7 linked regions of the Coturnix japonica genome follow. The protein of the gene in region 1 interacts with the protein of each later gene in a biochemical or structural test. Links are inferred from orthologs where the notes say so. Each region holds a gene or a part of one and is shown on either strand. Other genes may lie near its edges.

Region 1 (4,266 bases):
ATTCTACAGTGCAAGTGTTTGTTCTGAAATGAGTTTGGACAGGACTTTGCCAAGTTTCTCCACTGAATTCTTGTGCAAAAGATGTTTCCATTTTCCTGTGCTTACCTCATTTTTTAACTGTCATGCCAAATCCTTACTTTCTTGTAGATTATCAAAATACTAATTCATCTCGATGTGCCTAGAGGTATCTGTTCTTATTTAGCATTTACCTGTAGAACTGATTTGAGGTTAATTTCCTTGGTGTCTTTATTGCTCTTCCTCTCTCATAATGCAAGCTGCAACCATTAGTGTACATTGAAATTACTTTGCAAATCTCCCCTCTCTAAAAGCTGATTTTTTCCTGGGCTTCTCATTTTTTAAAACCTTCATATTTGTCAAAATAAATGAAAATGTGTTATATGCACATAATGTTTTTGTGGTTGCACTGTGTAAACAGCATTGAAGCAAACTGAATTAAATGGATATTTTGTTGCAGGATCAGATTCTGCCTCTGTTAAAGGAACAGAAACAATCAGAGGAGCAGTGCTGTATGGATGTTACTTATTTCTGAGTTTACTTTGACGTATTTATTGTGTATTATTTACAGTGTATAAGGAAAAGAGCATACCAGTTACAGCATCCAAAGGCTCATCTTAAAAATAAACAATTAGAGGCACGATATGGTATGTGTTGGAGCATCTAACTTGTGCTAATGTAAGTAAATGGTGTTTCACTTTTCTTTGCCTAATTAGCACAGTAACTTGTTAAACTATCAGGGAAAAAAATGTGCAGAGGAATCTGATGGGTAGTATAAAATCAGTGAATCAATATAAATCAATATAAATAACTATCAAAGAATCTCTCAGAAGGCATGAATCACTGATGTAAGGCAGAATACACCCAGCAGCTGTTTTACTGTCTACGTAATGTATCTATGATATCCCCATGTGTTGCTATCAGCACATGGGGATAGGCATAGGCATTTAGTGTGTTACCTCCCAAGCCCCTTTCATTGTGAGATTCAGTTCTGGAGTTCCCAATAAATCATAGTAGTTCATATCCTATTGACTTTGTGGCCAAAATGACCACACGGGAATGGGGCTGTTCACGGGCTCTGTTGATGCCGAGGCAGCAGAAACGAGGGTTGTATATAATGGGACGGGATGGGTTTCTGCTGCAGAGCGTCCCACGGGAGGGACATGGATGGGGAGCTGAAGGCCACAGGGCTTTTCACAAGCGGCGACGCAAACGCCTGCTTATGCCTTCGGCAGCTACCGAGCAAACAAACAGCGGGAAGCGGACAACGGGATACCCTCAACACTCGCATAAACCTAGCGGGGGAATAGGCCAAGCTGTTCCCTCCCCCACAGCTGCTTCCTTCTGTCCTGGGACAGGTAGAGGCGGTTCCATTCCTACCTGGGCGGGGAAGGCGCCGCTGGTTCCTCCTCCCCCCGCTTCTTGCTCCCGCCCCATCCTCCTCCCCCTCGGCGTCCCCAGAGGGAGCCCCTGCGCTCCGTGGCCGGTCGGAGAGCGCAGCTGGGCAGAGTAGTCCCTTGGCCGGCCCCATCCGTTCCGCAGCCCCTGCGACAGAAGGAGAGGAGGGAGTAGGAAAGGAGAGGAGGAGGAAGAAGGCAGCAGTCCTTCTGCAGCTGGGTAGGAACGTGTGCGTGCAACCCTCGACGGCTGCCCTCCAGCATGTTGCTCGGAGGCAGAGTGGCAGCCAGGAGCTGAGCGGAGTAGAACGCAGAGCAGAGTAGCGCAAAGTGAGGAGCAGCTCGTCGGGGAGCTCCGTTTGCCCGTCGCGTTCGATGCACACCATGGGCGTTCTCAACCCCCTGTCCGCCGCCAAGCCCCGCGGGGCCGCTCTCCTGGTGCTGCTGCTGCTGGGGCGCGTCGCACTCTGTTCCGCCGTGGAGGAGAAGAAAGGTAACGGGTGGTACGGGTGCTGGGGCTACAGGGTGTGCCCCTTGGTACTGCGGGGAGAGTCGGAGGGAAAGTCTTGGCTTCGTCCCTTAGAAGAAAGGGGGGAAAAAGTAAAAAATAAAAAACTACTGAGAGAAAGATGGAAAAACAGACCTACAGAGCAGTCGCGCAGCTCATGACTTCCTGATTCTAAGCTTATTTTCTTTTGTGGGGGCGGAGGAAATAAAAGGGAATAAACCTTTGAGAGTCTCATCGCTTGTGCTTGTCCCCTCCCGAGGCTTTTATTTTCTGCTCTCTCCTCCACTCCGCCCCCGTGCTCTTTCCGCGGCGCCCCGAGCGCCCTCACTGCCCGGGTTCACCCCATGGTGGCCGCCGGCCCAGTACCGCTCTGCTACCGACACCGGGGAGGTGGCACCGAGCACGGCAGGGACACGCAGGGCAGCCTCAGCCGTCCCGCCGCCTCGGGCCGGGCACCTCAGCTCATTCCGCTTCAAAAAGATGAATGCATGCATATACGTGTGCACACACCTGAGAAGGGTGTGTCGGGGAGGACGGGAAACTTCATGCGGATTCTGGTTCTCCGGTCGTGCTCGCTCTCTCTCTCTTTCTCTCTGCCCGGCCCGATGCCTCCGCTGTCACCCTCGCTGAGAGCGCCCGGCAGCCGTGCGTGGGAACGGCGCGGGACGGCCCGCGAGGCTGTCTGGTTGGCTTCTGGAGCTTTGTTTTTTATACGTTTTTGAAAAACTGGTTTAAGGAGTGAGAGAACGTTTTTGTTGGGAGAGTTCCGTCGCTTTTTCTCCATGTGTGGTGATCATTTCTGTGAATAGGCCCCGAGTGCTGTTCCAGGCAGAGTACAGTTCTCTTTATCTTGGAGATCTGCCAGCAAGGGAAAAAATGCAGATCTGTTGTTGTGTTTTCTTTCTACAGAAAAAGAGGGAAAAAAGAATTAGTAGTGTTTTGAAGAGCTGGCTTGCAGCTGAAAACAGCTGAACCTATGTTTTTGTAACTGAGAACAGTAAAACTGTCCTGAAAGGGAGCAGCAGCTGCCTGTTCTGAGGAACTAGTTACACAACCTCAAAGCATTGAAGAGGCTCCCTTGTTCCAGAAATCAAGTTCATACCTGTTGCTGATGTAACGTAGGCAGCTCTTCTTTCCTGGGTTTCTGATCTTTTTCTTTTCTTGTCTCCCCTCATCCACTGAAAGTGACGGGGAGCAGAGCTGACTCCGTCTGCTGCATTTAAGTCCTTTGAAATGGAACACCCTGATGCACATGCCCAGCAGAATCTGTAAAATGTGAGGGTATATATGTTGTTGCCTTCTTTAAAGTGCTTAATCTGGTGTCTCATAAAATTATGAAGGTGCTGTTTATTTGAGGATTGTTAAATAAAAAACAGCTACATGATAAACCCAATGGGCATCATTGTCAGCATTGTGTTAGTGAGTAACCATTCCTGTGAGGAGGACCGGGGACAGAAGAGGGAAGGCAGAATAACTTCTTCAAGAAGCATGAATCAATTATTTGAGCTTTATCTGTTTTTCTCCGCATTTGAAGATGAGAGAGGAAATAAAGGTGGGTACAGAATAAAGTGGCATTTGGGAATCATAAAATAATGAGTGAAGACCCACTTCCTTGGGACCCCATGGCATCTGAATTTATAACAGTTCTGAAAGCAAATATGCTGCCATAAACATTGCAACACTCATGTTTTATGATAAAATTCTGTTGCTTCTAGAAGTACAAATAGTAAATGCATTTATGCTTCTTAATATTTTAGTTTGTATTATCCCCCCCAAATTACCTTGGCAAATCTTTTTTGTTACAAGAATGTCAGAATCAAACTATAATGGGCAATGTAATAGTTGAATGGAAATTAAAATTCACCTGTATATTTTACCAGAAGTTTAGAACAATCTTTTCAAATTTGGATGAGACGAAACTTTTTTATTTGAATGACTGCAGTCATGAAAATGAAAAACAAACCAAACAAACCCAGTAGCTGTGCTTAATGCAGCACCAAACAGCATTGTTAGAAATTGAACTGTCACAGGGATCAATACCTCCCTCTCTCTCAATCCACCATCTTTAATGTTGATCCAGATTAACAGCAGAGGAAGTAATCTGGATTTACACTGATAGTTGCTGGATGGCCTGTTAGGTGCCTTTGACAGCAGGCATGCCACTTCCTGCAGCATGCATTTGACTGATGTCCATTTTGTTTCTCATTGCTTAGTGACATTGCATTTAGTCAAACCATTTCTTGTTGCTTTTTTGGCTCTATATATCTAGTTTTGATCTGTAGTTGCAGCCATTGTGGAATGGAGTAAAGGACTGTGCACTCTAACCCACTGGGCAGTGTACTGGCT
Region 2 (4,446 bases), about 15 Mb from region 1:
ATTAGAATGGCATCCTGTTCCTACCAGCGCAGGAGCAGACAGAAACCACCTCACCCCAAAGTGCACTGCTTTCCCAGATCCATGGGAATAACTAAGCTCCACAACCAACAAAGCCAGCCTTCCAAATGACTCACACACAGCTTCATTTGCCCCAAAATTCCCCTCCATCATTCTCTTGCAAGTATTTTCTTTACGTAAACCTCAGGATTATCTCCTTCTTGTGTCCAACCCCAGGCTGCTCTAAATTCCTCCTATCACACCCACAGAGTTTTAAAAAACACAAGCTACTTCTGAGGAAGAACGAGTGAAATGCAGACACCAAAATCCAAGTTTTGATAGATTTTTGTTGAAAACAACAGGCCAACTTCTCTTCTGTGCTGCAGCGTGACCCAGGCAATGAAGAGCTTCCTCCAAGAGCCATCAACTTACTCTGTATCTCTGCTGCTATGGCTCCAGGACAAATGTTGGTCCTGTAGCATGACAGGAGGAGTAAGCAGAATGGAGCACAGCCCTAGTTTCTCTGTTCTCCTCACCCTCTCAGTCACACCTTCTATAGCCAAGATGGGCTTCGAGGTATGTGGAGATGCTGCCTTTGCCAAAATTAAGCCAGCTACAAGCTCCCCCTCCCTCAGGAATGCTGAGCTGGCAGAAATAGCTGAAGTCCAGGCTCTCTGCACAGCTGACGACTGCAGACCATAGGGTACCAGGGCAGAATGAATCAATGACCCTCCTCCTCTGCTTTGTTCAGAAATGGAGAGCAAGACAGGTTTATAAAGCAACTTAGTCCTTAACTTCTAATGAGAATATAACCTCATTTTAGGACTTGGATATGTTGGACTCAACTGATTACCAAGGGCACTACCAGATACAATACGGCCTAGGACTGATGGAGAAGGCAGCTGTTAAGGATCCTCTCAGTAAATGCACAAACAAATTTTAAGTTACTGTCTAATTTGAAGTAGATCAGCTGACTGATGACTGCAGTTGTTCACACAGACAGGAAGTATCCCCTTTTTGGGAGCCTGAACCTCATGAAGGGATTTGACATATGAAGGATTCCTTACTTTTGGAAAACTAGAGCATCAACCTCCACAGCAAATGAGACGCTTGGGATTAGAAGAGATAGCTTTCTAGAATTATACACTATTAAAACCCAGGAAGGAACACCCCTCTAATCATAATCTACTAAACAAATATAACTACAGATGCTTACATCTTCCTGAGGGTTTCAACTGCCACTTTAATGAATCTATAGGAGTATGCAATTACTCTAGGAACACAGAGCTGCATTATAGCTTTCTTTTGCTCTAAAAAAAGTAAACAGTTGCCCTGCAAAACCTCCAATACACGTCAATCCTACAAAACAGCAACAAGCAGTGGGCAAGAGGAATGTCATTTCACAGGACACTTCATCTCTATAAAATTACAGGATTTTCTACTGGGGGATAAAAAAAAATAATGATGTTCTACATGTTCTACCACAGGCTTGTATAAACCACATTTATTTTGTCTCCGTGCCATTTTAAAAGCTGAAGGGGGGAATTCTCATCAAGAAAGGAGGCATGGTCATTGCCAAACACTTTGGGTTGAACTCCCCATGCCCTGGCACAGCCTCAGAGTAAAGTACCCATGCCATCCAGACTAAGGGTCAACACAAGCCACAGGAAGCAGGAGGGATGGCAGCAGTTTGTTTTCTAAACCTTCAGCTCAGTTGTTTTGCATGAAAGAATTCACTCTAAGTTTTCTTCCTCACGTAGCTCTCTGAATGTTTATGGAGATATGGCACTGAAAGCTGCCTAACTCACATCCCACATATTGGAGATCACAGGATCATTCCGTTTGGAAAAGACCACTTAGATCAGCAAGTCAACCATCAACCCACGACCACCAAAGCAAACAACAGCACTCAACTGGCCGCTGTTGGAGGGGGAGGGGGCTGCTTGTCACCCCACCAGCATGCTAGGACAACACAACTCCATCCGTGCAGGGCAGAGCGGGGGCAGGCGGAGTCAAACTGCACAGCTAAGCACATTGCTGCTCCAAATGTTAAACGCACACACACACACAAAAAGAAAGAAGTGAAAGACGAGACAAAAGTTGCAAGAAAGACACTCCTGTAAGCAGCCGAGTGAAAGACGCTTGCAAATAAACCCACTCCAAGCCGTAAGCTCAGCATGCGCCGAGCACCAGGGGGCTGAGGGGCTCGCACCACGCCAGCGTCCCGGTGGGGTCGGGCCGCCGCCTCCAGCCGCCCCGGCCCCACGGTGACGGGGCTCGGAGCTCGGCTCAAGGGTGGATCCGGGGACCCGCCGGGGTCTCCAGCAGTGGGGAGGGGGCGACAAGTCCCGCCCCCCCTAACAGCTTCCTCTTTTCAAGAGAAGTTCAAAACTAACAAAAACATTAGTATCAACTAAAGAAAGGGAAAGCCCCCTCGCCCCCCAGAGGCTGTTGAGTGGAGGAATTCGCTCCGCCGAGCCGCCCGTCTCGGCTCCCACCGCCCGCCGGCCCCCGGACGGGCCCGCTGGAAGGGAGGCGGCAAATCTATCCCTTTTCACCCTCCACCAGCCGAGGGAGAGGGAAGCCCCACGGCAGACGACCCGTCTCCGCCGCTACTCACTCCAAGCAGACACACTTTCAGCTCGCGTATCGCCATCATCTGCCCGGGGCCCGTCCGCTCCGCATCGCCCAGCGCCCAACGCCGCCGCTCCGCACTGCCCCGCCGCGGCACGGCACCGAGCCGCCCCCGCCGCGGTCACATGCGGCCCCGCCTCGGCGCTGCCCCGGGGCTGTGCCGACTCAGCTGCGGGCCGCTACCGGGATGTGCCTGAGGGTTCGTGAGCACGGAAAGGAAGGGAAAGGCCGACTCTGCTTTTACACAGCCCTAGTGCTAACCAGCCCTGTTTTGGTTCAGTCAGCTTCAGGGCTGCATCCCACACACAGGAAAGTAATGATGGATAACAATTTGCAGCTGGTGCCAAGATCAGTCCTCTGAGATCAGCCCACCCCCACTGTGCCCACTGACCATGTCCCTCAGTGCCGCATCCACACGGTTCTTGAACGCCTTGGAGGATGGTGACCCCACCACCTCCCCCGGGCATCATCACATTGAGAATCATCACACTGATTCTCAATGTTTAATGAACCTTAATTTTTTTAGGAGCATTTAGTAAAGAGAAGAAAAACAGAGCAGGTTTTCAAGCAAGCCTTCCTGAATCTTTCTAACATTCTATCTAGAATGGCTGCTCCAAAAGTAATGCCTCCTATTTTATTATTTTGGCACTTGACATCACAAGCAGATGTTGGTGGTACAGCAGTAGAGGCTGAACTTTCCCAACAGTATGGGATGATGTCATCTGACATGGAAATGCAAAGAGGTGAAACTGAATTCCTCCATGAGGAAACAGTTGGACCTATGGACATACACTGATGCTTGCTGAATGCTTATTGAGACTAGGCAGCGGATGTGAACTCCATGAGGGGGTGAGTGGTGTGTTTCAGCAATGTAGGATGCATGGACAGGAGGTAGGAAGTTCCAAATCTCTATACCATCCAGCTGCACCCTTTCTTTCAATTCTAGGCCTGGGTTAAATGCTGCCCCTATGACTTTCAATCAGATTTGTCTACTGCCGAGGGACTGAAATTTACATACAGTGTAATGATTCAGGGCTATCTTTTGCAAAAAAAATCATTTTTTAGACCCATTTCTGTGTCCCACGTATCCTAATGGTTATCTGTCTCTTTCCTTTGACACAGATTTTGTAATTCTTGGAATTCGGGAGTTTAGGGCTTTGTGTGTGTGTGTATGTGTTAGATGTTGTTTTAGCTGGGCTAATTTCAGAAAGAAACAGGGAAAGAAAGAGAGAGAGAGAAAGAGAGAGAAAGAAAGCGAGAAAGAGGTTGAATAAAAAAAGAAAGAAAAGGGGAGGGAGAGAGGAAGAGAGGGAGGAAGGAGGATCCTTCAAAATCAGGGAGGTCAGAAGAGAGAAAAACAATACAGACAGACATGTGCTCAAGTTTTAAAAAAAGCTAATGACGTTCCTTCTTCCAGGAACTGGCATCATCCTTGTGTTTGTCTGCATGCAAGGAGTTGTGGTCAGGAAAACATTTTTGAGGTATTGGTCATGTTTCAATGTTTTCAAATGGCTGGTTAAAAGCAAATGAAAACAAGCCTCTGCATCCCAAAGGTTTTCTTTTCTTTCTTTCATTCTTTCTTTCTTTATTTCTTTTTTTTTTTTATAGCATCTTTTTCAAGTAATAATTATAAGTTTAGAAACAATTGTTTGCTTCACTTCTTTCAACCCAACTGTGTTTAACTTTTGGGAAGTAACATTGTTTTCCAGTAGCATCAGAAATAATATAATCATAGAACTATAGAATCATTTGAGCTGGAAGGGACCTTTAAAGGTCATATAGTCCAACCACCCTGCAATGAACAGGGACACCTAC
Region 3 (4,329 bases), on another chromosome or scaffold:
AGCCGCCCTGGGGCTCCTACAGCAGCAGAGCTGTAGGAGGACATCTCCTTGTTGTGCTGGGAGGCCCCTGCCAGTCACCCCTTCAAAGACGCTTCCTTGTGAAACAGCCTGACCTCCATGGCAGGAAAATGCCCTGGAACATCAACCTGGGGAGCAGCAGAAGGGGGCAGCCCCTTCACCACTTCTCTGGACCTTCCCGTAACGCTGGGCCTTGGTTTTGCTTCTCCTTTCTGGTCAGCGTGGCTCCCAGCAGGTAACACTTGGCTGCTTCTGCCCATGGGCCCATACAGGACCTGGGAAATTCCCCTATCAGGGGGCGTCCACATCCCTGCAGGGACCTCAGAGCCTTGGCTGTGACTTGCACCATACAACAGGCAGGTGCCACAGGCCACGCACCATGACACCACAACACCAGCACACCGCACACCAGCACTAGGAGCCCCTGCAGGCACTGTGCTGTCATGCTATGTACCACCTGCATCCCCATCACCCCGGTCAGCCACCACTGATGCCAAAGTAACAAGGGCCCACATCAGCACTGGGCCTTGCAGGAAGACAAGCAAAAGAGCACAGGCACGAGGGTAGCTCAGAGAAACCCACCTAGTACCAGCTCCCTCCTACTGCTGCCTTTTACAAGACAAATGCAGATGATTGCACTCTGACTTCCATGCCCATCCCACAGCTCCCACAGCCAAAGACCTCACCCACAGTAGCCAACCTGCTTGGGAAGGGTGGGCACAGCCACGGCCCCATTTTGTTCTTCTCCCCTCTGATGTGCACGGTCAGAGGTTCAGCACACGGACAAGGAAGCAATTGCCATTGGCTTTCCAACTGGCAAGGTCTGGGCACAAAAGTAAAACATCCAGAGAGGAAAAATGGAAAACAAGAAATCTCCTGAGCACGATTTGGGTGGAAAAAACAAAGCCCTGAGCCCAGGGACCCACCCAGCAGCACGGACCCCTCAGCCAGCACCAACAGTGACAACACAGTGTGAGAAACACCCAGAGAAGCTGTGGTTGGGTGTCTTCTGGAGGTACAGACAGTGCTCTCTGTGCCCAGAGCAGTGGGTGCAGCCCAGCAGCACAAGTGGAAGGCAGCCTCAGCACCCTGCACTATGCAGAAGGGGCTGCAAGGCCAGTGCTGGGCCCAGCACTGAGAGACGTCACAGTGTGAGCCAGCACCTGCCTGGCACCAGAGCTGCTAGGAGGAATGGGACCTTGCCATAGTCCTTCCACTCCAACACACATTTCAGAGTGACCTCATTTGCAGTGCAGCTCAGCTGTGCTCTTCCAAGAGCCTAAGGACAGACTCTGTGGCAATTGATGTTGTCTACCTCTGAGGATAGCTGTGCTCCTTTTAACTCCCTCGGGCCCCCAACACAGCCCTACATCCGTCATTAAACAGCAGATACACAGGGTAAGTCGGTGACCAGGGGCTGCAGAGGTGGCAGTACAGGCTGCAGCCCCCTGTGCCGGTACCCGCTCCCCACGCTCACTACTCACCCGCACACTGTAGGCTGTGCCCGACTCCTCCGCGCTCTCCCCGCCGGGCACGAGGCTCCCTCCCAGCCTGCCCACCACCTCCGCTGCTCCTCTCCCTGTGCAGCCACCCGTGGGCCTTGGAGTCAGGTGTGCTCCTTCTGGGCCGGGTTGAGGGTACGAGGCCGAAAGGCAGCCGAGCTCAGGTGAGGAGGGACCGCCAGGGACGGTGACGCACTCAGTCAGTTTGGTCCTCGGCACCTCCTTGCTCCCCAGGCAGAAGCTCTTCAGGCTGGGCAGAGCGGAGGGGTTGGCGAGTTTAATGTTGGCCATGCGCGGGATCAGCGCGCACAGCGTGGTGCAGGTGTCCTGCGGGCCCAGCGGGACGTCCTCGGCCAGCAGGCTGGGAGCTGAAGGGTGGGAGGAAGAGGAGGAACCTTTGATGTTTTGCGGCCCTTCGTCCAGAGACGTTACGGAGTCGTTCCTGAAGCGGCTGTACTTGGCCCTGTGCAGCATCCCCGGGTGTCGGAGCAGCCCCACGTACAGGACGTGTGCACCGAGGCTCTGCGGGCCGCGCTCTCTCATAGCCCTTGCAGTTCGGTAACCGGAGCCTCGGGCACAAATCGCCTTTGTGGATAAATCAGACGGAAAGCAGGCAAGTCAAACACCGTTAAAAACAGAAACCTGACAGAGATTTCTGCCGATTCCCTCCCGAGCAGCGTATTTTCCTCGGTGCGGGAGGCTTCCAGCCCACGGCCGGCCGGCGTCCCCCGTGCAGACCCACGGGCGGCAGCAGCCCACGCCCAGAAATGCCACCCGAGACCGTGTCCCCCCCCAGCCCTCGGGGCCGCGCACCGGCCGCTCACAGCCGGGATGTCAGCACCGCGCTCCTGGCCGCAGCGACAGACCGAGAGCGATCCGTGCAGAGCCCAGCACAGCAGAGCACACACAGCAGAGCAGAGCAGAGCACATACAGCAGAGCAGAGCACACACAGCAGAGCAGAGCACACACAGCAGTGCAGAGCCCAGCAGCCGAGCCCCGCGCTCAGCCGCACCTCCAGATCATCCCGATTCCCTCCAGGTGCGCGGCTCTCGGCGCCTTCATCCTCAGCTGCCCCCACGGGGAAGCAGCGGCAGCTCAGCCCCGCTCCGCACCGCTCGTGCCCGCACACGCGTTAAGCCGAGCCCTCCCGTCCCGCAGCAGCTCTCAGCCTCGGGGCTGCCAATTCTCGCTCCGGAATCCCTCAGCTCCGTTCCGCGGTCCGTGCGGTGCCCGGTACATTCGTACCACCCTCGTCGTGCGGGTCAGCACCGCCCGAGCCGCTCCCGCCACGCCGAGCCCGGGGCGCCGCCGCCGCCGCTTTTATGAATGAAGTTAGTTATTTTTTTTATGAATGAGGCTGTGCGCGTGCAGGCGGCCAGAGCCGTGAATGGCGCTCGGCGGGTGGCCGCGGCCCGGCGGCACCCGGGGTGATCCCGGCAGCCAATCACAGCCCGCCGCCGAAACACGCGCCATCAGCGCGCGAGTCAATGGGGGGAGCGCGGGGCGGGAGCGCGCGCCGGGATCCCGCGTCTCACGCGGCGCGTGGAACGGAGGCGTCGTTGTACCGAACGGAGGCGGTGCACGGCTCGGAGGGAGGCGTTGCGCTGCTCCCTGCGCTGTTCGCAGCCGCGGGGCTCGTGGCGGAGCGGCGCTGCACCTGCAGCTCTGACCTGATGGCCGAGAGCCTCCGGACGGGGCTGCCCCGAGGCCGGTGATGGGGTTGGAAGGCCGCCCCTTCTGGGCACGTTTGGAAGGAATAGAGAATGATACCAATAGCCCCGGAGCCGTATCCCGGGCGCTGCACCGCACAGCTCTCGGGGCTCCAGCTGCTGACTGCGGCGTGCGAGGGGTTTGCAGCGAGGGCCGTGCTTTTCCAGCAGTAGGACACACATACAAGCATGAGAACAGAACCAGCAAAGAGCGGCATTGTCCGAGGAACATTAGCCAGGGAGGGGGTGGAGGGCAAAAGAAAAATGCCTTTGTCTATTAAAAAGTCTTTTCTCGGGGCTACAAACAAGATTTCTGCTGAAGATGCTGGGAATCCAACCTCCAGCCGCCCCAAGAACAAAGCGCCTTTAAGCACCGGCACAACCGAGCCTGCAGAAAACGGGCCTCTGCTTTGTGTGAGGCCCACACGAAGCCGTGGGTGCTGCTCATGCTTGGTCTGGCTGCCCGCAGTACTGAGGGCCTCCAGGTGCCTGCTGCTTTCTGACCCCCTCCCACGGTGCTGCCCCGTGTGGGAGCTGCCCCGCACCCTCTCACGGGGCTTGAAGGCAGCAGCTCAGCGCTACTTCTGAGCTGGGCCTGCACAGTAGAGCTCTGTGCCTCCCTCGGAACATATGGAGCAAATGGAGGATTCCCCCCACCCCACATAAATAGCAGCAGCGGTGTTAATTCATGCAGACGTGCACCGAGCTCACACTGCACACATCCCCCTTGACACGCATGGCTGCAGGCAGAAAGGAGCCCAGCACTGCTTACAGCTGGGTGTGGGAAGCTGCAGGCAGCCCCTGCAGTGTGTGCTTCTCTGTGTCCCATAGTGCTCTAAAGGCAGCAGCCACAGCCTGGCTCCAGCCCTGCTGCAGGAGGGAAGCAAAGGCAAAGCTCAGCTGAGCCCAAAATAGCTGCAAGCTCCATCCCTGCAGAATTCCCCTCCCTACGAACAGGTTTCAGCAGCACAGAACTACAGCCAGCGCGAAAGGAAGTTGGAAATGATCGTGCTTTTATAGCATCAGGGGGCTCAGTATCTGTACTCCAGCACACAGGGAACATCAGCTCCTGTCACATGGATATGGCAGCTAAGGAGTG
Region 4 (3,660 bases), on another chromosome or scaffold:
TGCCCCTCTCTCCTTTGTTTGTATTTTCTCCTCCCTCCTGGCCAATTCTCCTGCAGGATCCAGTATTCAAGCTGAATCAGTATTCAAACTGAAGATACCAAGAATTTAGTAGGCAGAGGATAGGGAATGGAACGTGACTTTGCTGGTGCCCTTGTAGAAAAGAGGCTTTGCAGCAGGGCTTTTTGACCAGAAAGCAATACAAATGGCAACTCCTTCAGCTTAAGGACATTAAGAGATGCTCACCTACAGGCTCCGGTGTGTATCCATCTGCATTGAGAGGCCCAAGGTTTTTCTGGAAAAGAAACATTGATAAAGTGGGTAAAGCAGCCAGGGGAAATGGGAGAGGTGAGGGACAGGGAACCTCTGTAGTCCAGCAGAGCTGGTTTCCACTGTAAGATGCAGTGCTGGGCACAAGGACTGACTTAGCATTGAGCTGGTCTGGTCCTGGCTGGCATGGACCCTGTGCAGCTCTGCAGCCTTAGAGTTGTTACTGCTATATGGTACAACTCGTCCAGCACAGCTCTGAGCTCCAGTAATGCTTGCAGTAGTCATTGCAGGAGCCCACCACAGATTGTGAAAACTTTTTGACAAGCTGGGTAAACGCTCAGCCCTTTATTTAGGCTCTGCTGGGCTCTCACACAGCCCAAACTTACTGGTTTCAGCACAGCTGGACACTGAGCACAGACGTTCCCTGGGGCTGGGGATGCAGAGGGAGCACAAAGATGTGGCCCATGGCCAGCAGCCAGCAGTAGGGCTGAGCATTCCCAGAACCCAACCAGCGAGGAGGGCAGGGGGGGGGGGTCCCCAAGGTCAGCCCCATGTGTTGCAAGGAGCACAGCGTGAATGGAAACCATTCTTGACACTGATGGTAGCTATGGCCAGCTATTCCTTGTCCCTATCCAAGCTGGAAAGGAGACAGCATTGCAGCTGGCCTTAATATATTCCAGTTGAGTTGTTGCCTTTTAAAGAAGAGCACAGTCTGATCCTTTCAAAATGCCACTAAACGAGGTACCAACAAAACAGACTCTCCCCACAACTTACGCTCACAGAGGGGTGGGTTGGTGGAGCTGGTGCTGCAGAGGCTGTGGATTGGAAGAGAGGAGTTGTTAGTGAAAGTCTGCTTACACCCCATGCAGGAACAGAGCATCAGTCCTTTGAGGATCCAATCCCTCCCACACAGAAGTCCCTTTCTACCGCTTTAACCAGAATGGATTTGGAAACATGCATGGATATGGGCACTGTTCCCAGCCCTTGGGAGACCTCAGGAGTCCCACAGACAGGACATGAAGTGATGCTTGTGATACCTGGGACAAGTGACCGAGGCCAAGGTTGGCACTGGCACCAGCTCACCTGGCATGCTGGGGTTGGGGCAGCTTTCCCTCAGGTAGAAAATCAACCCATCCGGTTTGAGCTTCAAATATTCCACCAGCTGATAAAGGAATCAGGGGAGAAAGAGATCAATGCAAACAGAAAACCATCTCTTCTTTCGCAGGCAACACGCATGGTTTATCATAATGATTTCTCTCAGCTTTTCTCAGGGATTCAGTTGTTTCTTTCCCCTCTTTCTATCTGTGCACTCAGGGAACTCCTACAGCATTTGTATCTGGGTGTGTGCCAGAGCTGGGAAGAGTTTGGGAAGTTAGATAAGCCCCAAAGAAAGACAAAGGGAAAACCTTTAGTAGCAGGGCAGGGTAGGCTCTGTGTAATGTAATTGTTGCCACAGCCGGAAGGGACTGTAAGTCTGATAAAGTCTGAAGGGAACCTTTGGCTTTTCCCAGAAGAACTGCAGAATTCACTTTCTGGATCCCAGGTACTTTTCCAGTGCAGCACCCTCTGCTTCCAACATAGTGGGGGTCTCACTTTAGCTGGAGACCACCACCTCAACCCTGGCAACCACAGCACAGGGGGCCAGACTTTCTCTTCTCCTCCTGCATGGCTCAGATTTCATTCCAAATAAGGAACCTGGCACAGTTCTGTTTCCATTAAAAAAAAAAAGAAAAAAAAAATGCCCCGAAGTCTTTGTTTTCTTTCAGTTTCAGAGTGAAAACAGCCCTGGGAATTTAAAAAATCCAGCAAAACAGTTACAGTCTGCAAACAGCCCTCCCCAGGAAGAAGTGGTGCATTCCTTTCCTGGAGCAGCCCCAGGAGTTGGACTCAATCATCTTTTAAGAGCCCCTTCCAACACAGGTTATTCTGTGATTCACTGGGCTGTGTTATTCCAGGATAAGGGTTGGTGGTACCTGGGCTTCAGGCACTTGTCACATCCCCTAAAACCCAGCTCCCTCCTCATGGGTGGGGTATCACAGCCATCTCCTGTCTGCAAACAGCCCCCGGGGGGTGACAGGATGCGTCTCCTGGCACTTGGATCTGCGGTCACGTCAAGGTTTTGGGAGTTGGCTCAAGACTTATGGGCCTCCCGAGTCTCTGTGTGCAAGATGTTAAAGACCTTCCAAGCTCTTGGTGTCTTTAAGGCTCCAGATGGCCTTTCCTTATCCCCAAGGCATAGGCAGATATAGCAAGGGAGCAAAGCAAAGGTCCTAGCCTTTTCTTTGCTAGGACAGCAGTGCTCATCATCCCCCAGCACGGTACCTGCCAGAGCGTGTCGAACTTGGTCCCCTCAGGGATGGAGTACTTGCCAGACTTGTCCTGGTCGATCCGATAGTGATAAACTGTTTTGCCATAGACAAGGGACAGAGCGTAAGTGCCGTTTTCCTTTTTATCTCTCAGCCTGGTGGGAAGAAGAACTATTAAAAGCAACTCGAGGTTTTTTTACTCATGTGAAACAAATAACCAGAGGGCACTGGAAAGAGGGGAAATGGTGGGTAGGATGGGTTTGACAGCATCTACCAGGGTTTGTGTACTCACAGGAATTTCCCATCAGGTTGTGCCCCAGAGTAAAGCCTCCGCTCAGCTTCATCCCGGGCAATGTTACCATGGTACCAGGGCATCCTCTCATGGGCTGTGGTGGCAATGAGTTTCTCCACCTGTGGGGCCTGGCTTATAATGGCCTGTTCAAGGGCATCTCCCTGGAAGAGAGAGAGAAGTGAGGCATGGCTTAGGGAAGTGGAGAAGTCACCATCCCTGGAGGTGTTCAGGAGTCATGGAGATGTGGCACTGAGGGACATGGGAATGGTGGGGTGGGTTGAGATTGGGCGCAGTCTTAGAGGTCTTTTCAACCTTAATAATCCTATAAGAGTGAAGCCACCATGTTCGTATGGAGGATCTGACATCAGCTTCATGGGTGCCTTCCAACTCTGCATTCCTGGGGGACAAGGACCCCTTCCTTTGCTGCCTGCTGTCCCTGTGCAGTACAGCTTACCAAGGGCAGTGCAGTCTGGAAATCAATATGTGCTGCTGTAAATGAGTTCTATCAGCTCCACACTTTTTGAGGAGCTGCAGGTTTTCATTTGCCAGTAGGTGGCAATGTCCTTTGTGTTATCTACCAGCAGATACAGTTCAGCTTCATGGAGAAATCTTATTGAAGCTCTCATTTTGACAAGCATCTCTAGTCTAAAACGGGTCACTTTTAGAGGTCTTTTGCAGAAAGACTTTGAAGAGCAAGGAAAACCTGAGCAAGAGTTCTGAGTCTGGTTCCATCATGATGTTATGGAGGCACAGATGAGGGTCTAACTACAAAGAGGGAGAAATAGAACCATGATG
Region 5 (3,660 bases), on another chromosome or scaffold:
GTATTATTGCCATCTTTTGTATTATTTCACCTTACAGCATCCTATTTCCTACCAGTAACGTTGCATCTCTTTCAATCATGCAAAATGGTTTCAACAGATAAAGCATTTTTCAAAGTTGAGACAATATTTTGCTTTTTAAAAATGTATTCAAAATTTGCTATTTAAAATTCATCTCTGAAGTGAAATACACAACAATAATCAACAGGAAACTGAAAAGCTTGAACTGATATTATGGACACAGAAGTAGTGTCATGCTAAAATTCCATGACGTTTTTGAACTGAAATAACAAAGTCTAAACGAACAGTTCCAAGAACTTCCCATATAAAATGGTTAGAAATATTTCATTTTTTTTACACAAGATACTGAGTTTGCATATTAAGCCATTTTTTTCAGAAACATTCAGACTCCTACTGAAAACAAGAAGTTGCAGGGATCCTTTATGAGATGATTCTTGCTAACATCAGTGGATATTTCAATCTCCTATAAAGAATATATTCAGCTCTCAATATTTATTAAGTCATTCATTTTATAGTTAGTGTGTACAGATATTCTTTCACTGCATTTCTTATATCAAAATAGTTTAACCTGATCTCATAACAGAGGCTGATAAAAGGACTCTACTTACCTAACTTTCTGTCTGCAGACAAACAAAGCAGTAACAGCCACTACCATCACAATGAGAAACAAACCAGCACTCACACCTTCAATAACTCCAAAGAGAGGCTCTAGAAACAAAACAGTGTTTTTACACATTTTGAAGAAAAGACATGAAGAATCAAAAAATCACCAGTGCCCAGAGAATATGTTACTACTATTAGCTAGAGGAAATGGTTAAATTAAAGGAAATTCAAAGTGTCTGAACAACTAAACTAGGCCTTGGTTTTCTGTCCTAATTTTTTCTAAATGTTATGCAAAACTTTTCATTCCCAACCACAGCAAAAGAAAGCACAGCTCCATCATGTAGGAATTCAGCTTTCTGGTATGTCAAAGCTTTCTTGACAACAGCATCACTGAGCATTCACCTTTTTCTCTGCTGTCAGCAGCTCTACCAAGCAGACCTTTTAATTTTCAATTTCATGGCCTATCCATGGCAAATAAGGGCCATGGATAAGCCATGGCTTCCGCATTATTTCAAAGCAGACTTCAGGACACTGCATGACAAATCCTTGCAAGCAGTTCTGGATACCAGAGCGTTTTGAGTTGCAATGTATAATCACTTGCTACAATGACTGAAAAGCAAGCTTGAAACTAACCTGCCTCCGTAGTGATTGGTAAAGAGAAGAAGGTGTCTGCAAAGAGTGGTTGAGGAAGTTCCTTTGGGTCTTCACTGAAGAGCTGGGTAAAAGCCCGTATACTGATCCTAAAAAAAAAATACCCAGTTCAGTTTACAGTTACTAGTTAAGTTTATCAGATGTTCAGAGTCAACTGTGGAAAAATAAGAGATTCAGATAAGAAATGACCCGTCTCTTAGAGATGATTAAAGACTTTCCATTGACAACAGACTGCCTGGCATGTGCCTTCTGTACATGTCACTGTCTGGTAAGCATCATGCAGATCTTTTGGCAGAGTGTTTGCCTGAAAGAAGGGTGAGACTGAGATGCACTGGAGTTCACATTTGTTTTCATAGCCTGTCCAACTGCTTGGTCTTGGCAGTAGTGCTCTTCTATATCCTACAGCTCACCCAGTCTTAGCTCTGGAGCCTCTGGACTGTGCCATGGATTACAACAACCTGCGCAATTTTCTACTTTGTCCCAAAGGACTTGTGTGAGTACATAGTGACAAATAAATTCTATGCAGCGTTCTTGCCTTCTCTTGTTATGTAATCTTCTGACTTAGATGACTTAGTGTTTCTAAAGAGGGATTTACTAACTATAGGAAAGGTCTTGACCAAAAGGAGATAAACAAACACACTATATGTAACTATTGGTATCATTCCCATGCTAATGAAAATATCGTTTCTATCCATGGAATGGAGCATGGATAAAGCTTTTATAAATTATGCCATGAAACACAAGGAACATTATACGGCCCAGTTATTTATCTTCAGAAGCTCAAGTGTGTCAGACACTCAGCACTGTGCCTAATAATGTGACAGAGCACAATTACCAACATTAATCTCACCTATAAGCAGTCCGAGGCTTCAAGGGTCCATCGCAGAATTTTTGCTGATCTGGATCACACTTTCCTCCCAGATTTTCCATTTCTCCTCCAAGCTTAATGTCAAAGCTTTTATAGTCGCTGTCAGGGTTTTCAGCACATCTACTAGCAAAATAATTGGTCTGGTAGATGCGTATGGAGTCATTGTGTTTGTACTCCAGGTAAGAAGGTAATGGGTGTTGCTCGTCGGGTTTTGGTCCTTCACTGCCTACATCATGTGCAGAGAAAGACAGAAGGTTTACATATCACAGCCATTAACACAATGCAGTATTAGAAATTCAGGGTGTTGATGGACCAAATCCTTATTATCCAACTTCTGAGGCTTTCCTGGAGGGAAGGCAAGTTAAAAAATATCCCACAAATTGACAAGAGTGGTCTACTGTATGCAGAGAAAAAATACATAGGAAATGACAGAAGTCTGCTGAAAGAGAACTAGCAATAGCATGCATAAAACTTAAGTAGGCCAAAGACTGGCAATGAGTAGTCAGTCCCTTTCTATGAGAGCTCTATAAACTGCTCAAGCACAACCAAGTAGACAGTGGAAATATTTCCTCTTTTTTTCTTTTTTTTTTTTTTTAACCTGAGGGCTGATCACAGAATCATAGAACAGACAGAGATCTTAAGAAACTTTATCAAGAATCATAAAATACCAGCATACTGACACATGAAGCTGCTTCTAAAGCCTGTATTAACTGTCAAGACATCAATCTGCATTGCCACATATAGGTCAACTACAGAAAAGGAGGCTTACGTACATACTGCAAGGACAATTTCTGCTCTGTTCTGCATGTAAAGTCATATTCTTCAGTAAGCAAACTCTACCTGAATCATGTTACTTTTTCCTTCTCTGCATGGCTTACTGGGGTTTTCCAAAAGCTGTCTTAGTGTTCCCCCTTACAACTGAACTACTTTTTGAGATCTGTGCAGAGCAAGGCAGGCTATTCTATGTCCTCCATCAATGGCATCTGTCAACCAACGTAAGTCTTCTGCTGTGGAAACTTTCTGATCTTACATGAGAGCATCTCCTAGAGCACAGAACCTAACTAACTACCGCTTCTGGCTAGGATCTGCAGATGCTACTTACCTTCTGAGAGGAGGACTGAATGCTTAAAATTCCAGGCTAAGGAGCCATAAACTTTCAGTGAAAGTCAGCAACTATATAAGAAGTTACTTTGCTGTGTAGTGATAGGGGTGTACATCTGCATGTAAATCATACAGGCTATAGAGAGAACGGTATTAAATGATACTTACCATCAGCCTCTCTGACAACCACAGTAAAGTACTTCACAGCTCCATTAGTATCACTAAACCAGCTGCAGTTAAAAGTAAAGTTAATGGAGGATTTGGTAATCAGCACCTCTTTCTTGTTTACTCGTATGTCTGGAGGTGGCTGAGGGGGACCTGAGAAATGAAACAAAAAAAGTAAAGAAAAAACAAGGAAAAGAGTTATCTATGTATTTGCTGTGAGCTATACCTAGCAAAGGAAAGGCAATTCTTAATAA
Region 6 (4,347 bases), on another chromosome or scaffold:
GGACTCTGGCCCTGACGGAGCAGGATGGTGGTGGCCGAGTGGTGCCATTCTGGGGCCTCCAGGCTGCAGGCTCTTGCTCCATGCACGGGAACACGGGTTCACTGGGAAGGGCTGATCCTGCCCAGTGCTCCCAGCAGAACTGCCCCATCTACAGGGACATGCTGCCATAATTCCCATCCGAGGAGCAGCCGCACCACTGTGCCACCACCTGCCTGGTGCCCCCTGAGCCCCCCCAGCCCCGATGTCCCTGGGAGCCCCATAGTAGCGCTCCATAGCAGCACTGAGATTTGCTGTGCCCCTTCATTGCTCCCCCAGGAGCCACTGACCAGGGGGCCAACAGCAAACCCCTGTGCTGCCTTATGGGTTCTGTGCACGGTGCTGGTTCTGGCAGCAGCCCACCCCCACCGGCAGCTCCCAGAGCCGCCCCTTCCCCCCGTCTCGGTGCTGGGTGCTGCTCCTGGTGCACGGCATCCCTGTGCCACTGTACCCCGTCACCACCTCTGCCCCACAAGTGCCTTCATCTCTCTCCCAGCAGCCCCCAGAGCTTTAAGCTCCATTAATTTAATACTTCCCATCTCGCTTTTATATTTTTCGCTCGTTTATTTTGTATTTTAAACGTTCTGGTGCTGAACTTGGAATAAAACTCGGTCCGCTCTTTTGACGGCCGCCTCTGCCCGGAGCAAATCGGGACGGACACAAGTGCCATGAAAGACCATCTGGGGGGGGGTCGGTCGGGTCGGGACCCCCAGGCCGGGCGGTGGGTGCTGGGCGGCCGCTGGTGCAGCCACGGCGCTGCTTTGTGCCTGGCGGCCGTCGAGCTGTTGGCAGCACGAGGCTCCGCCGGGACTTGGCTGCGGTGACTGAAACCGAGAGGCTGAATCACGGCGTGAGCCGCGGGCGAGGGAAGGGACGGGATGGGGCGGGACGGGACGGGATGGGACGGGATGGGGTGGGATATTATGGGATGGGATGGGATGGGATGGGATACAATTGGATGTAATGGGATGGGGACAGAATAGGATATAGAATGGGATGGGGAGGGGTGGGATGGGATGGGATATTATGGGATATTATGGGATATTATGGGATGGGGTGGGATGGGCGCTGCCGCTCCCCGCCCTGCTCCAGCTGCGTGTCTCCCCCGCTCCGACCCGCAGTGCCGCCCCCCGCCCCCCCTCCATTTACCCCCCTCCATTTTCCCCCCCTCCATTTTCCCCCCGTTGTCCCGACCCGGTTCGGTCCCGTTCGAACCCTCCCGGCTCCGCCCCGTGACGTCACCCAGGTGGGCCCTCGGTGCGCTCACGCCCTTCCCCACCCGCCCTCGCCCCGCCCCCGCCCCGCCCCGCCGCCCAATCAGCTCCCGGCGCGCGGGGGGCGGTCTCCTCCCCGCCAATGGCGAGCGGATAAACACGGGGAGGGGGCGGGGCCCGGTCAGCAGCGGCGAAGACGGACGGGAAGAAGAACCAATGGCAAGCGGGCAGCGCTGTGAGGGGCGGGGCCAGGCGGGGCGGGGCGCCGTTCGCCTTTTGTTCGTGCGGGAGCGGGGCGGGCGGCAGAGCTGCGGGAACCGGGAGAGGTGAGAGACGGGGGGGGCGGGCGGGGGGCGAGGGGGGGGGGCCTGGGCTGGGGGGTCCCGGCATCGAGGGGCTCCGGGCTCCGCGCGGTGTCGGGCTGTTACCGCCCCCCCCCCCCGGGGCAGCGCCGCGCCCGGCTGCGCTCATCCCGTCCGACCGGTCCCGAGCAGCCCCGGGGCTGCGCTCACCGCCGGGCTCGGTTCGGTTCGGCCCAACCGGCCCCGTGCGGTTCCGGTGCTGCCGCTGGGCGCTGCCCCGGGTGGTTGTTCCGGCGGAGCCGCTCACCTGCCCCGAGCAGCCCCGGGGAGCGGGACGGGCTGCGGGAGGGGAACGGGGACGGGGGGGTTAATGAAGCGGCTCCTGTTCATCCCGCCGCGCTGACACCGAACGTCGGGGCAGCGGAACTGAGCGGGGAGCGACCGGCTCGTATCGTCGTCACGTTCTCGTTGCGTTCGCTGGGTGATTAGTTTAATTAATCGGCGCAGATTAAAGCACGACGCGGGGCCGCTGCTGGGAGTTGCCCGCGGAGGAAGGCGTGGGTTGTGCGCGGGGGGACGCGGTGGGAGCGTGGGCGGCTCCCGGGGCGCAGCCCGGGCCGGGACGGAGCCGTGCTGACCTCAGCGCTGTCCCCGCGTCCTGCCGTGCCCTCCCCGGTGCTGGTATCCCCGGGCCCCCCCTGTCCCCGCTCCGGGGCTGTCCCTGCTCCGTCCCTTCTCTGTCCCTGCTCCGTCCCCTTCCCACCCGCAGTTTGGTCCGTCGGTGGGGGGCGCGGATCCCCTCCCGTGTCCTTGTGGGCGTGCGGCGGGGCAGTGTGCGGAGCGGAGCAGCCATTAAGGTCCTTCCACCTCCGAAGGCCGTAATTGTTCACCGCTTTGGAGGATTTCCACAAAGTGGTTTGAAAAACCCATTTGGCAGCGAACTCGGCTTTAACAGGTGGGCACAGGACGCGCCTGCGCAAAGCCCGGGTGGCGGTGGCCGGGGGTCGTTTTATCCCCGGTTCTGGTGCCGCTCGCTGGGCGATGAGGAGCTGCTGGGGGGGGCTGAGCTGCAGCTGCCCGACTCCGGCGGTGGGGAAGCGCTGGCGGAAGCGTGGGGGGGGCTGCAGGCCGCCCCAACCCCCCCCGCCCCCACAAACAATGGCTCCCATTCCATTGTCTGGTGCTGCAGCCACTCCCCTGGGGACAGCGGGGATGCCGGCATGAAGCACCTCGTGCCCCGTCCACATGTGGGTCCCCGTGGGCTGTGCCGTTGGCACCACTGCCCGTGGTTTGTTCACACCTGGAGACCACGGAGCGTTTCGCCTCTGAGCTGTACATGAAGGTCGGGTGCTGCCCTCCTCCTCCTGGGAATCCTTCCTTGTTCCCCCATCAGACCCCCAGCCGGTTGGGGGGTGCAGTTGGCAGCCCGCAGGGAGGAGCTGCGCTGTGGGGCTGCAGTACAGGGTCTGCATGGGGAGCTCACAGGGCTCTAATTGAGGTGTCTGTACCACAGCTCATGCTGCTCCTGAAATTTGAAATTAGGCTGGCTTCTAATTAGCAGGAGTTAAAAAGAAGTTTCATTTCTATTGAAGCACTGCAAGTCTGCCTTGGACTTCTTGTGGCACAGTTGCCAGCTCTGACTCTTGTTTTAGGTGGTGTTTTCCCACCTCGGTGCTTTAGGGCTGTGCCTGGGATAGGCAGCAAATGGGGTCTGGGTGGCAGCTGTGGGTCCCAGTTGGTCTCCTGGGACCTGGGGTGTCCCCCACGGGGCTGTGCCCTGCTGGCAGCGCCTGGCTCGCAGTCAGCCCTGGAGGATGCAGCACTTGAGCTGATGCAGCATTTCCAGCTCCACCAGGGTTGGGTTTACCCCGTTTCCCAGGGACAGGGTTGGGTGTTTGGGGATGGAGCAGGCACGCTGTCTGTGCATGGGAGAGGCTGCCAAAGAAGTCTTAAAACTTGACCTAAGCAGCTTAAAAACACATCTGTGCTTACAGTGCTGCTGGCCAGAGCTGAGCTGCAGAGTGCTCCAAAGCTGCATCCTGTGCTGCCAGCTCAAGGACGGCCCAGCACAGCCCTGGATGCCACGCTTGGCGTGTTGCTGCCTGCTCTGCTCAGTGCTCCCGAGGCCCACATGCTGCAGGGGTGGTGCAGTGCACCCAAAGCTTTGGGGTCCAGTGGTGGGGGGGGCAATGCTGTGTGTGCTTCATCACCCCCTCCTCCCCCCGCTCCCCTCCATGCTACATCAGTCCTTCAGTGCATCCTGGGGTTTGTCCTTACTGTGTGCTCACTCTGTGCTGGCTTTGGGCTCAGGAGCCTCCTGGGCCAGTGCATCCTCCTGCCTCCATGGGGTGAGAGCTGTCTATGCTCCCCCCTTGTGTGCAGTGCACTGTGCTTTGTAAGGGTGGTGAGGGGAATACAGGAGGAGTGAGGGGCAAGATGTTTCTAATTAGACAGGCTTGAGATATCTCTCCAAATCTGCCATCCCCGATTGGTTTTTCTGCAGCTGCTGACAGGCCTGGAGGCATTTCATAATGCTTGAATTGCTCGGATCTAAAATCCCTCCATGCAAAGGGCAGGAGCCTTGTGCTGGAGCGGAGCTCCTGGTGGCTCGGGGCGCTGAGCTGTGCTGGGGCTGCCATGGGATGCTCAGTGCTCTCTGAATATCCCACACCTGCTGACCTGACCCATTCCCCCAGTGCTGCGGAGATGCACAGGGGGGGTCGTGCAGCACTGCAGCTAAGGCTGCAATCGGCCTCGTGGCATCATCGCCATGCATTGGGCAGGGGTCTGTTGGG
Region 7 (3,660 bases), about 590 kb from region 1:
CACTGGTTAGTGGTAAACTCCTGATACACAGAGCAGACAACAAATCTCTACTGCCCACTAGGCTGCAACTGATAATCTGTTGATTTTCACACAACAGTGTAGATTTGTACCTCAGGTCAAGTGCCTACATGCAAGTAGTTGGAAACATTTGCATCTTTGAATGACAACTATAGTAGCTGGAACCTCTCAATAAAGACAGAGGTTGTCACATGCCTTTTCATTTGTTGCATGCTTTTTCATTTATCAAGAATACTGTGCAAAAACAGTTAACTATTGCTGCAGCAATGACCTAGGTTAGTATCTGATGTTCATGACCATAGCTGATACTGATACAAACTTCCTGGCAATGTAGAGACAGCTTCAAGCTGACAGTGCCGATGTAAGCTTCAACTAAAGGTTAGGCTTAAGTTCATGAAAGACTATCATCTTCCCTTGAGAGAAGTAAACCCAAATCAAATCAAATCAAATCAAATCCAAACACACAAAAACCACTTTTAATGCTTATAATTGGGAAATGTGCCAAAAGATGAAAGATTAAATATTGTTTTGTCCCCTTCTTTCTTTCCTATTTCAGTTACCATCAAAGTAAATGCAGCAGAATGATTGCACATTGGCTATCATTATACCTAACTTGCATGCTCACAAACAACCCAGACAAAGGAAAGGTGGCCCTCTTCTCAAGTCTTCCTACTATACATTGTTTCCTTTTATACAGAAAGGGCAAACTGATCCCTATTTACATGTTATCAACTTGCTAGAAGCACAGAGACGAACAGTTCCCTAATTCCCAGACTGAACAGGCAGCACTGCTTTCATTTTCTATGCAGCTTTAAGTCAGAGGCTACCAGTTCTCACTCACCATCAAATTTCTGTCCCTTCAAAGTTCTCTCACTCTTTTTCTTGTTTTGAAGAGAGAGAGGTGATGTAACTGGGTATTTGCTCTTTGACTGTCCAAGCACTGAAATACTTTGTGTTTACATTCTGTGATCTCTGCTAGAAATAAGATATGAAGTCCTCCTCAGGAGGAAAAACTTGTAGGAAAACTGCTCTGGTTTGTCATGCATCTGCTACAGACTCTAAAATCTAATAGCAAAATTCATAACCTCACTTAAAAAAAAAGACAAAAGGGTCATCTAATGAAGCACTGATTCAAACTCGATTGTCATAAAACTTTTGTTTGTAGAGGAATGTCCAAGCTGTAGCCTGCAGGCTGTATGTGGCCCAGCACAGCCCCACCTGTGGTGACTCCCTGCCCCATGTTATCATGACAGCAGCTCTTCCCCACTGAGCTGTTCAGCCCATCCCCTGACACGGACCTTAAAATGACTTCCATTGCTGTGAGGAAACAACAGAAACTATTTTTTCATTGAAGTACTTTTGCAGCAGCTACCAGAGGAAGTTCTAAGTTACTCTGTGGTTAGTTAAGTTAGGATAATTATTTATATGACTAACTCAACATTTTCTCAGGAATACTTGAATGCCCTTCACTCTCAAATTCAGCTTTCAGACTAAATAAATTGAAATTGTCTTCTGCCCTTATACATTCTGTAATTGTTCTTATAATTACCCTATACACCCAGTAGTCTGAAATAAAAAGTTAATAAGCATACACCAACTAGCTTACTAGTAAACATATACCCCAGAATATACCTCAGCTGATATACCTTGTTCTCTTGAGATAACTGGTTTATACCAAAACTTGGAAGTGTCCTGGACAAATTTTACAGTCACTTGTTTCTCTGTTGTGTTCTCTGTGAAATAAAAAGGGTAAAAAGAAGTCAACAAATTTTCTAAGTATGGAAGTATTTTTCCTTTTCTTCCTAGCTTCCAATCACATTAATTGTTCTAAAATCTAATGATTAGACAACAGAGAAAAAAATCTCAATTATTTTAGAACCAAAATGTATAATAACCTACATTAACATTCTAAAAGCTCTCTTAAAGTTTAATTTTACAAAACCTGTAAGATATTGAAAACTCTTAAGTTTATAAAGTTATAACAAAGTTATATTCTTAGTAAAAGCATATACACGTATCATTATTTTTAACTACTCTTGGCACAAGTCTAGCAAAGATGAAGAAATAAACCATCCATTATTAGGAGAGGTTGGACTAGATACTGCTTGTTTGTGATTTCACAGCTCCAAAGGTGGGCTGACAGATAAGGACAGAAGTAACAATTCTGCACCATAGTCTTCAGAACAGTGCATACAAAATAGTGAACCAGTGCCTCTTACTGTAAATCAAGCCCTCCATTTTCCTTCCACTGCTTTTTAGCTCCTTTTCATTTAAAATCCCTCCTTACTGAGAGATAAACTCATACAATTCTGATATGTTATGCATATCTCTGATGCAGAACCTACCTGGCACCAGAGAAGTGTTTAAAGTGTTTGAGAAATCTGGAAGAACACTTGGGAAGGGGATACTGATTGTGCTTCCACTGTGGGGGCTTGAGAAACCACTTGAAGAAGGTGAGATGGAGATGAAGGAACGGTCCCCTTCAGAGGACCTCTTTTTCTCTGGAAGAGGTGGTTGAGAATGTAGGTTCCCTCCAAGGCACGGATGGACTGCATTGTTCTGACTAATATGTCCAGAAGTCATTGCAAGAAAATTTTGGGCCAAAAAGCCTTCATCTTCTGCACTTTCTACAGGTGAGCTCATGGTTTTAGAAGAGATGCTAGTGTTGGCTATAAAAGTAGCTTCTTTCTCCTCTTGGGGGGAACTAATGCCCACATTGGCCCCATTGTAGCTTCGGTAAGGCTGAGCACTGTTACTGACAGCAGGTTCATGCTGTTGCTCTGCTGGTGATTTCTCCAGGTTGCTCAGGGTGACAGCTTGCAGCCCTGGGGTTTGGAAATGAGACAAAAGAGAACCATCTTGCACAGAGTTTGAAAATTCAGAAGGCACATGATAACTTCCTGTTGGCCTGTTGCTTCCTATTGAAAGCTGGAACAATTTGGAAGATTTAGGGCTGTTTTCAGTCCAAGAATGTTCTGCCGCAAGGGGGCTGTCAAAAAAAAAAAAAAAAAAAAAAAAAAAGAGAGACAAAAATTGAACACAAAAATAAAACAGGCAAATCATTTTCTATAAATGTCACTAGACAGTGTATCCTCTGGTCATTACTGAAAGCACTCACTCACTCAAGACAATAACTGACATGTTCGATAACATGCAGGACCTGGTCATAAAGTTCGAACCAGGGACTCCGGCCCCATCCTGAATACTCACTCCTGAATGCAGTTCATTACTTTCTGTCTCATCTCACCCTCAATCCAGCCATGGCGATGACAGAGTTTCTGAGTTTGCACTGTAAGTCAGGCCATCAAATTAATCATTGTTAAAAACACTCCTCTTTCCTCCTATTTGAGAGCATTATTTTTAGTGTGAATTAATTCAATTAGACTGTTCAAAACATTGCTTCACAGAGGTCCTGGAGATCTATGGTGATCTACAGTGCTGGCTGAAAAAAGAGCAGTCGGAGGCAAGAATTTCTTAAGCCATCTGTCATCAAAGACAGATTTATGGAATAAGACTGACACTGCTACAACACTTCTTACATGCAGTATCTCTTATGTTAATTTAATAAAAAGGAGAAAGGAGCTGAGACATGGAAAAAGGGGGGTAGGAAAGCCAGGTAGAGAAAGGGAGTGGAGAAGGGGG

Evidence for each region.
Region 2: the proteins of EGFR (region 1) and RAB31 form a complex in vitro, tested with the Homo sapiens proteins (2 studies listed by BioGRID). The link is inferred for Coturnix japonica from reciprocal best matches to the Homo sapiens genes EGFR and RAB31.
Region 3: the proteins of EGFR (region 1) and SHC4 form a complex in vitro, tested with the Homo sapiens proteins (2 studies listed by BioGRID). The link is inferred for Coturnix japonica from reciprocal best matches to the Homo sapiens genes EGFR and SHC4.
Region 4: the proteins of EGFR (region 1) and tyrosine-protein kinase ZAP-70 form a complex in vitro, tested with the Homo sapiens proteins (2 studies listed by BioGRID and IntAct, with this or other methods). The link is inferred for Coturnix japonica from reciprocal best matches to the Homo sapiens genes EGFR and ZAP70.
Region 5: of the proteins of EGFR (region 1) and PTPRB, one has a biochemical effect on the other in vitro, tested with the Homo sapiens proteins (2 studies listed by BioGRID and IntAct). The link is inferred for Coturnix japonica from reciprocal best matches to the Homo sapiens genes EGFR and PTPRB.
Region 6: the proteins of EGFR (region 1) and JUP form a complex in vitro, tested with the Homo sapiens proteins (2 studies listed by BioGRID, with this or other methods). The link is inferred for Coturnix japonica from reciprocal best matches to the Homo sapiens genes EGFR and JUP.
Region 7: the proteins of EGFR (region 1) and TNS3 form a complex in vitro, tested with the Homo sapiens proteins (2 studies listed by BioGRID). The link is inferred for Coturnix japonica from reciprocal best matches to the Homo sapiens genes EGFR and TNS3.

Annotation. Positions count from the first base shown.
Region 1 is NC_029517.1:73,822,696-73,826,961, forward strand, and holds the start of EGFR (epidermal growth factor receptor), read left to right. Parts: upstream 1-1,466; 5' UTR 1,467-1,787; coding exon 1,788-1,905; intron 1,906-4,266. UniProt on the Homo sapiens protein: Receptor tyrosine kinase binding ligands of the EGF family and activating several signaling cascades to convert extracellular cues into appropriate cellular responses.
Region 2 is NC_029517.1:88,716,661-88,721,106, forward strand, and holds the start of RAB31 (ras-related protein Rab-31), read right to left. Parts: upstream 2,823-4,446; 5' UTR 2,657-2,822; coding exon 2,618-2,656; intron 1-2,617. UniProt on the Homo sapiens protein: The small GTPases Rab are key regulators of intracellular membrane trafficking, from the formation of transport vesicles to their fusion with membranes.
Region 3 is NC_029525.1:9,208,449-9,212,777, forward strand, and holds the start of SHC4 (SHC-transforming protein 4), read right to left. Parts: upstream 2,942-4,329; 5' UTR 2,534-2,941; intron 2,106-2,533; 5' UTR 2,064-2,105; coding exon 1,503-2,063; intron 1-1,502. UniProt on the Homo sapiens protein: Activates both Ras-dependent and Ras-independent migratory pathways in melanomas. Contributes to the early phases of agrin-induced tyrosine phosphorylation of CHRNB1.
Region 4 is NC_029543.1:1,090,567-1,094,226, reverse strand, and holds part of tyrosine-protein kinase ZAP-70, read right to left. Parts: intron 3,027-3,660; coding exon 2,866-3,026; intron 2,729-2,865; coding exon 2,590-2,728; intron 1,430-2,589; coding exon 1,351-1,429; intron 1,083-1,350; coding exon 1,042-1,082; intron 293-1,041; coding exon 244-292; intron 1-243. UniProt on the Homo sapiens protein: Tyrosine kinase that plays an essential role in regulation of the adaptive immune response. Regulates motility, adhesion and cytokine expression of mature T-cells, as well as thymocyte development.
Region 5 is NC_029516.1:32,509,350-32,513,009, forward strand, and holds part of PTPRB (receptor-type tyrosine-protein phosphatase beta), read right to left. Parts: intron 3,560-3,660; coding exon 3,410-3,559; intron 2,367-3,409; coding exon 2,123-2,366; intron 1,362-2,122; coding exon 1,255-1,361; intron 727-1,254; coding exon 627-726; intron 1-626. UniProt on the Homo sapiens protein: Plays an important role in blood vessel remodeling and angiogenesis. Not necessary for the initial formation of blood vessels, but is essential for their maintenance and remodeling. Can induce dephosphorylation of TEK/TIE2, CDH5/VE-cadherin and KDR/VEGFR-2.
Region 6 is NC_029542.1:4,305,489-4,309,835, reverse strand, and holds the start of JUP (junction plakoglobin), read left to right. Parts: upstream 1-1,478; 5' UTR 1,479-1,576; intron 1,577-4,347. UniProt on the Homo sapiens protein: Common junctional plaque protein. The membrane-associated plaques are architectural elements in an important strategic position to influence the arrangement and function of both the cytoskeleton and the cells within the tissue.
Region 7 is NC_029517.1:73,236,906-73,240,565, reverse strand, and holds part of TNS3 (tensin-3), read right to left. Parts: intron 3,008-3,660; coding exon 2,364-3,007; intron 1,752-2,363; coding exon 1,665-1,751; intron 1-1,664. UniProt on the Homo sapiens protein: May act as a protein phosphatase and/or a lipid phosphatase. Involved in the dissociation of the integrin-tensin-actin complex. EGF activates TNS4 and down-regulates TNS3 which results in capping the tail of ITGB1.